Sus scrofa: one gene and its partner. The protein of the gene in region 1 interacts with the protein of each later gene in a biochemical or structural test. Links are inferred from orthologs where the notes say so. Each region holds a gene or a part of one and is shown on either strand. Other genes may lie near its edges.

Region 1 (4,041 bases):
AACTTCCCAGGCTTGGTAAACAGCAGAATGAGGATGCAAAGCCAGATTTGTCTGACTCCACCACAATCCTTTACTGCCTTTCTAATGAATCCAACACCTAATAGAGATCCCCAGACGGTAACCTGAAGGTTCTCTTTCCTAAAGAAAGAGTTAAAAGCAAAAAAAAAAAAAAAAAAAAAAAAAGTTTGGGATGGAAATGCTGTAAAATTTGGTTGTGATGACTGTTGTACACCTATAAATGTAATAAAATTCATTAAGTAATAATAAAAAATTTAAAAAAACTATATATATATATATATTATTTTTTTAAAGTAAGCAAGCAAGCAACCAGTCAACCTTTCCTCAAAGAAAGCCAGATGGGGAATTTAGGTATATACTTATTTACCCTCACTCTGCAAGTCTTCATCTTTATTTCTTGTATCTGTCTCTTCTTCTATCACCTCCAGTTTCAGCTTAGAACAAGATCACCTCTTCTACAGACACTTTCAAAGCCTCCTAACTCTGTCCACTCACATGTTCGAATCTATTCAGAAGCTGACCACTGCCTATCATCACTCCCACACCTCTCAACAAGGCTCTGAGTTTTTATTTGCAACACCCTACAGTTTCATCTCAACACATCAGTGTGTCCTTTTAAAAGGTCACGTCACAACTCCGCTCAACAGCACCTCTAGCCCATCTCCCACTACCTTCTCCTTTGCTAATCCACTCTTGGAATATGGCTTCCACGTAGTTCCTTGAAAAAACATGACATTCCTATGCCCCAGGGTCTTTCCACTAGCTGTTCCCTCTGCTTGGGGTTCTCTTCCCCAAGGTATGTGCATGGCACATTCCTTCGTCTCCTTTATGCTTCTGCTTAAAGCTTGCTGTCCAAGTGAAGTTTTCCCTTAACGCCCTGCTTAAAATTGCAAACCAGCTTCCCACCCAAGGACCTCCAATCCCTTTTGGCTTGTTCCATTTTTGCTTTTATCCATAGCACGTATTCTAGTATACCATACACCAGATTTATGTTTCCTGCATCCTCTCTCCGAAGCAGAAACTCCACGAGGGTGGAAATGTTTTTGTTTTGCTCAATGCTATATCCCCAGTACCTAGAACAATGACTAGCATATAAAATGTGCTCAGCAAATATTTGCTGAATTAATGGTTTACATGGTTTACCAGCAAGAAAAACTGATAACCCCAGGTCAGTGCACTGTTTACCCTATGGCTTTGCATACTCCTGGAGTTCTGGATCCACTCTGGGAGGCACTTACTCATCTGCCTGAGAAGCCTGGTAACAGAGAGCTATTAGAGGGGAATGACGTGGTGCGTTTTACATTTCAGTCAGTCCACTCTGGCTCTGGGGGATGGATCTGGGGAGGATAAGGCTGGAATTATGAGTCCATTCCAATATTCAGATGTTGACAGCTTGAGAAATATTCAGGACACAAAAGGGAAAGATGTAATGATTGGATGGATGTTGGGGTTGGTGGGAATCTGACTGATTTTCAGGTTTGGGGGCTGGGCAATTGAACAGATAACACGGGCAGTCATGGAGACAGAGCATACCAGAATAAGCCCACTTGGGGATGGACCCGGGAAGAGAAGTCTCTTCTTCCACCTAGTTCAACATTCACTTTAGCAATCCCTTGACAAATAAGTAAAGTTGATTTTGGCAAAAACCTCAACCAGAGCAGCAGAATATAAACAAAAAGAATCCTAAAGGATCATTTCTTTGTTCTCATTTGTCAGTGGCACTAAGCTGGCCTTAGACCAGGCAGAGTCCTTCCTAAAGAGAAAGGCAGGAACGGATTCTCCTGGATTCAAAGTCTATTGTGCATCTTAAGATATACAGCTACCAACATTTCTGTTAACTTCTAAAGCAACGAATTTTCTCATCTCTTTGGAAAATAACTTCAAAATTAGGCAATTTTAAAAGCGCTCCATCCTAATGATCCTTAAACAAAGGTTTACCAACAAAATATTTCAAGCTACCACTTACTGCACCGATAGTTTGACCCTCATACCTTACCTGGAAAGTTCTCTCGATTTAGCTTAGGTCTGCGGACGATCACAAAGTCCTTTTCATTCCCTTTGCTCTTCAGCCGTTTTCGCGGAGGGCTCTGCGGGTGGCCCAGGTTTGAAAGCAGTTCCTGGGGGATGTTCTCACTGTCCACCTCCTCCTTCTCCAAGGCAGAGACCCCCATGCCTGAAAGCAGTTCAGAAGTCTTGCTAGAATCCCATCCCCACGTGAAGCTGGTGGTAACGTTGCTACTCTGGTCGGGAATCTCCTGGAGGTGCTTCCTGCAGATAAGCACAATAGCCCCCGTTCCTTTAAAAAACACACCCGTGAATAATTCCAAACAGGCCTAAAGGAAGCTGCAACTTATGCATTACCGAAAACGCTCACAGCAGCTAACTGAACTTGCATTTTAAGTGCCGGCGGCGAGTTCCCAAGAATGAAAGAAAAAAGAACCAAACACACCGAACAAATCGAAAAGGCTTTTTGATTTACGATCATGCAGAAGGCCTCAAGAATGTCTCAAAGTGGATGGAACAGATAAGAAGAGGGCAATTATACAGTGATTGAAAACAGGAGCAGAAAAGCCCAATAAGGGAAGCCAAATAATATCGCACGCTGATCACAGCACTAAAGCATCCACCCATCCACGTTTTCCCAAAGAGGAGGTTAAGCAACCATTCACATTGCAGCATTACAAACAATATTAGGAAGTAGCAAAACTCGCGGCCTAAAAGAATTAAGATGGTCCACTCACGGTCTGCCCCTTTCTGCAAACGGTTTACCTGTGCATGGCGTCCGCAGGTTCGGGAGTTTTAAACGCGTGCATTAATTGCAGAGGTGCCCGCCTCCCGGATTCCCGCTTTGGCGCGCGGCGGCGCACTGCGTGTGGCTCCAGCCCCCAGCAGTGAGACCCGCGAACTCTATCAACGTTCCATCCCCACCGCGCGCGCAGAAAACTTCTGCCCGCTCTCCTCCCCGCTACCGTCTGCGGCCCCGCTGCCTTCTGGGAATTGTAGTTTTCTCCCTGCCTGGCAATCCGGCTGCCTCGCCACTACTTCCTTTCCTCGCAGCTTTCCCCGCCTTCCATATACCCACAACCCCCCGCGGTTGCGGCACTGGACGGCCCACAGGGTAGGCGGGGAGGCGGAAGTGGGCGGTGCTCCAGCCGACCGGGCTATGGCAGCAGCTTGACGGGCGACAGGTTTTCTTTTCCCGGGAACCCCTAGGCCTTCTGGTGACAGCCACCGCCGTCGCCAAAGAGCGTGGGTTCCAGACCCCAGACGGCTGTGGCGGACAGGGGGTTTCCAGGTCCTTCTGGAATCTGTCCGGCGAGATCGGACGGTGAGCCTGAGGGGGGAGAGCCTGAGACATTTTGGGATCTGGGGCCAAGTGCAGGCGGCGAGAGAGGGACCCACGAGACCCCGAGAGGCCGCCGCCGCGGGGCCTACGTTCCTGGCCGCTGAGTGGAGGCAGTGGCCCGCCCCGCCCGCCAGGTGAGAGGTTGCGGCCGCGGGCGTCACACCTGCCTGTGTCTACCCCTCCGCCGGGAGCTGCTTCCTCCATCCGGGAGAGGGCAGCCCTTAGGATTGGGTCTGTGGACAAGATCCTTTCCTGATCTGTAAAATAGGCACTATGGCAACGAAGGATTATTTCACATCTTGCCGCCGTCAGGGTCAAACCAGAGGAACATGAGTGAGAGCATTTTGTAAGTGAAGGCGCAGTTTGAGTCAAAGGTGGTGGTTGAATTTTAGGGGATCAGGAGACCGCTGTGTTCCTGTCCGCAGTGGCAAAGCTGAGCATCCCTTTGCAGCCTTGAGCAGTCTTACAACACTAGCATGACTGTATCCGTATACGCTAGGGGCCACTAACAAAGCCTATCGGTTGCTCTCTCTCGACCGGCTGCTGCTGATTGCCTAATCTCTGAAAAGCAGGCTGCTTTTGCCTACCTCCGCGGAGAAGAGTTTGGAGATGGTTAGAGAGCGTGCCATATTCCGAGTATGATGACCGGGCGAAATCCACTGTGCAAACTGTACTAT
Region 2 (4,152 bases), on another chromosome or scaffold:
TAAGATTAAGTTACTTTTAATTTTCTATCTAATTAAAGCTAAAAGTGATTGTCCTTGTAAGGAGTCCCATACTACCAAAGCATTTATTTTATCCAACTAAAAAGAGCTTCTTATGACAAAATACATAGAGGATTTCACTCTGATTTTCGTACCTCTGTCCACCTAGCTTTGGAATGATTTTAACAAGAAAAAAAAAAAAATACTGATAAGCCATTAACAGGAAAAAGAATTTGAGGAAAAGATATTTTGTTAAAGTATCCTTCATCTCCCATGACAGGAGTACAACGGTTCTGTCAGAATAAGTTAAAATCAAGTTTTGAGGTAATACCTAGGATTTGTCATAAGGGAGCTTACAGACCCCAAAGTCTGACGTATTCAAAGCACAATCTAGACGGTAACTAGAAGGCTAATGTGTGCTAAAGAGAATTATATTTGTTATGGGCAGTTCCAACCTATTAACACTACAATCAAGGGGAGATTCTTTGTTGTAAATTTAGATTATCTTTGGAGGCAAAAAGTATCAGCTATTAATGTTTTTACTTCAAGGTTTAATCTGAGGTTAAAATTTGTTGTAAATTTTACTTTTTTCTTTTTTTTTTGGTCTTTTTAGGGCATGTGGCAACTACCAGGCCAGAGATGGAACCCTCCCACAGCTGTAACCAGTCACAACATGGCAACACCAGATCCTTAACCCACTGAGCCGCAAGGGAACTCCTGTACATTTTAAATAAAAGTACACAAATTATTTTATTTTCAAAGGACTTCCCTGCTATACCTCTCATTGACAGAACTAAAATATACTAGATTTAGTGAGCCCATCTATTATATGTGGTAATGTACAAAAAAGCATAGTTCAACTGTGACTCACAGGATAACCATGTCCCTCCCTGGTGTCAGTCAATCACTCAGACTGCTTTTAAACAAAAGTTTAAAGCTGGAAGAGATGTTGATCACAACATTTATTTTTTGTCTTTTGTCTTTTTAGGGCCTCACCGGACTGCATACGGAGGTTCCCAGGTAGGGGTCTAATCAGAGATGTAGCTGCCAACCTACGCCAGAGCCATAGCAACGTGGGATCCAAGCCACATCTGCGACCTACACCACAGCTCATGGCAACACTGGATCCTTAACCCACTGAGCAAGGCCAGGGATTGAACGCGAAACCTCATGGTTCCTAGTCGGATTCGTTTCCGCTGCGCCACAACGGGAACTCCTGATCACAATATTTAAACTACATCCTCAAATAGCACTCTTTGAAATGGTATATACAAAGTGAATCTTAAGAATACAATTGAAATATATTCTCCCAATCAAGCAACATGTCCAGGGTCAGATTAAAGTAAGTGTTTGAGATCTAATAAAACTGATGTGATTAATAGTGTACCAGAGAGTATAGGATTAAGATCCTTTTGTAGGTCACTAGGTCATGGATAAACTGTGAGGCCTGAAATAAGTCACAGCCTTTCTAAACTTACCTATGCAATAATTATGATTACATTTATTTGATACAGATATTCTTTAAAACTTACCAAAACTACCATCCATTGGGTAATCAAGAGGTACCAGTGGTTTTCTTGGTCCAGGTAAAGTAACAGCTGAATTAAAAGCCAGGACATCTTCACTTTCTGGTTTTTTAGATTCAGCTGGCCTCTTTTGAGTCTCTTCTTCTGCTTCATCCACATGAATGGTAAATGCAGGTTGTTTACTGTTTGCTTTCCAAGGAGGAACAGTGACATGCTCATCATTTATAGGAAGATCCTTAAGAGGCGCAACCTAAAAATAAATAACTGGCTTTGAGTCTATTAAATGGAATTTGGCTTTCATCCCCTTATACTGCATTTACTTCCAAATACTCTATCAGGAAAATTAAACTTTATGGGGCAAAATTCAGGCAAGGAAATTTGAGTATGCGTTCCTGCAGAGGTTTTAGAGTCACACTAACGGATTACACAAAAATAATCAGGGCTAAGATAGGTGGTGGGGCAGGCCAAAAGATGCCAAATTTAGGAGAAATGGCAAAAAAGTGGTTTACCTCTTTCGCCCCAGGGTGGAGCAACAGAGCAAATTCGGTAAGATGGCGGAATTGTCCAAAAGCAAAGTATTTTTTATACCTTTTTCTAAAGTAGAGGTAATCTCTTAATTATGTGGGTAGCATGAAGGAGGTCCGGGCAATGCCTGGGGCCTAAAAGCTGAGAGAAAGGCGCGGAGGCGGCAAAGACCGTACTTAACACATACTCAACGTCGGAGGATTTGGTTTGACCATTATTGTCTATAGCAAAATACTCTCCATAGAGCAGACAGGCAACATAAACGCATAGTGCTGGCAGGGAGACTAATGGGAGAAAGGAATGGGGGTAATGTGGCATCCCACACTCGAGAAAACCAGAGGTCAAAGGGACCCCCGACACTGGCCTCCCGAAAAAACCCCAGGAGATGCTACCTCGCCACTCTCCTCTGCGGTCCAAACCCATGCAAAACTCCCGCTTGGCCCACCCTCCTCCAGATAATAACTCATTTACCCGTCGCGTCTTAGGCCTCTGCTGCAGCGCTGGACCCCGTGAGTTCCCGGCCTTCAGTACCGCCAGCCCAGCCCGGGTCCGGGGCTGCTGGGCGGCCGCAGCCTTCTCGGGGTTGATGTTCTCTTGGTCCTCTTGGAGCGCCGTCTGCTGCAATGTTAGCAACGCCGAGCCCGCCTCGCGGGCCACAGGCCCGGGCGCGGAGCTGCCCAACATCACTGCTCCCGGGGGCGCGACGGGATCAGCCTGCGGCGCCAAGCAGCGTGCACTGCGTCCCGCCGACCCGCCGAGGAACACTCCTGCCCTACCTACCCGCCACAGCCCGGGCCAGCCTGCCCGCCCGCCTGCTCAGGATCGTGCAGGACCAAGGAGGTTGCAAAAGCCGGAGGCAGGCGCTGCCGGGCGTGCAGGGTCAAGGACGCCCCCGGAATGAAGCGAGCAGCCCGCCGGAGCGGCAGCTGTTCCTGCAGTTCAAGTAGCCCGCGACTATTGAAATGGACCAATGATAAGGGCCAAGGCCCGTGACGTCACGCTGGGCGACACAGTCGCAGGCAAGTGAAGGCTGCCGCGAAGGAAACCGAGCAGGGGCGGAGCGGGGCGAAGAAAAGTCGGTGAGCAGCAGGAGGAAGTACGCCCGCGCTGCGCAAAGAGGCGGGGCCTAAGCTTATTGTGACTTTAAACGGAGCCACTAGGGGGTCCCTGTCTCAGAGCAAGGGCTGTCTCTAGAATAAACTAAATTAAATTTTAACAATTATTAGTGGGCCACCTTGGCCTTTAGCCTCAGGACCTCCAGTTAGCTCGACTGACTAGTTTCTCAAGGTCTAAAATCTGATCCGCCCACTTACTGGCCCGGTGATCTTGTTCAAGCACTTCAATGTTGATTCTCAGTTTTGTAACTGTTAATTGGGAGTAATAATGTTTATGCGTTATATAGGTGTCCTTAGTATTAAATAACGTGCATAAGTCATTTAACACACTGCTAACGTAACTGATACTCAAGTGGCAGACTACATCATCTTACCATTTAAGTGCTTCGCACAGTCATGCTTTTTATTTTTCTAATGATGATGCAGTTATTTTGAAGTACCACCTTGTACTACTGTTGATAGATGTAGCAAAGAGTAATGTACTACAAAAAAACTCCACTAGATGGTCATTAATGTTCATCTCTTTCTTTCCCAAGCTGTGGTAGCCAACAAAAAGCAGAGTAAAATTCTAGTGATCTATATATAATTATGTGCTCCATTTAGAAATGAATGTTTAAATATAGTAAAAACAATATGACCTTATTAAAATAAAACTCTGTTAGCAATATGTGCCTTAACAAATTCTAACATTTAATATACAAGGCTTGCACATATCTAATAATTATAATGGTATATAATTAAGAAGCACTGTTTTCCAACAAATTCATGAGTGTGAGCGAGCCTTTCTTGAAAACATAAAAAATAGCTTATTTTCTATTTCCTTACGGTATTTTAAAACACCCTTTACGTACAATATTCACCTGAATATGAATCAATATGAATTAAGATTAATGAACAAAACTTCCATAGCCTTAAAGTCATATTTCCCCCCATATATGATTAAAAGGAGATCAGTGGATACTATGGCAGGAAAATCTAAGAAGCTATCA

What was found.
Region 2: the proteins of SKP2 (region 1) and CCNA2 are reported together in a solved structure, tested with the Homo sapiens proteins (2 studies listed by BioGRID, with this or other methods). The link is inferred for Sus scrofa from reciprocal best matches to the Homo sapiens genes SKP2 and CCNA2.

The regions. Positions count from the first base shown.
Region 1 is NC_010458.4:21,462,032-21,466,072, reverse strand, and holds the start of SKP2 (S-phase kinase-associated protein 2), read right to left. Parts: upstream 2,804-4,041; 5' UTR 2,796-2,803; coding exon 2,788-2,795; intron 2,287-2,787; coding exon 2,015-2,286; intron 1-2,014. UniProt on the Homo sapiens protein: Substrate recognition component of a SCF (SKP1-CUL1-F-box protein) E3 ubiquitin-protein ligase complex which mediates the ubiquitination and subsequent proteasomal degradation of target proteins involved in cell cycle progression, signal transduction and transcription.
Region 2 is NC_010450.4:102,258,994-102,263,145, reverse strand, and holds the start of CCNA2 (cyclin-A2), read right to left. Parts: upstream 2,801-4,152; 5' UTR 2,733-2,800; coding exon 2,520-2,732; intron 1,774-2,519; coding exon 1,530-1,773; intron 1-1,529. UniProt on the Homo sapiens protein: Cyclin which controls both the G1/S and the G2/M transition phases of the cell cycle. Functions through the formation of specific serine/threonine protein kinase holoenzyme complexes with the cyclin-dependent protein kinases CDK1 or CDK2.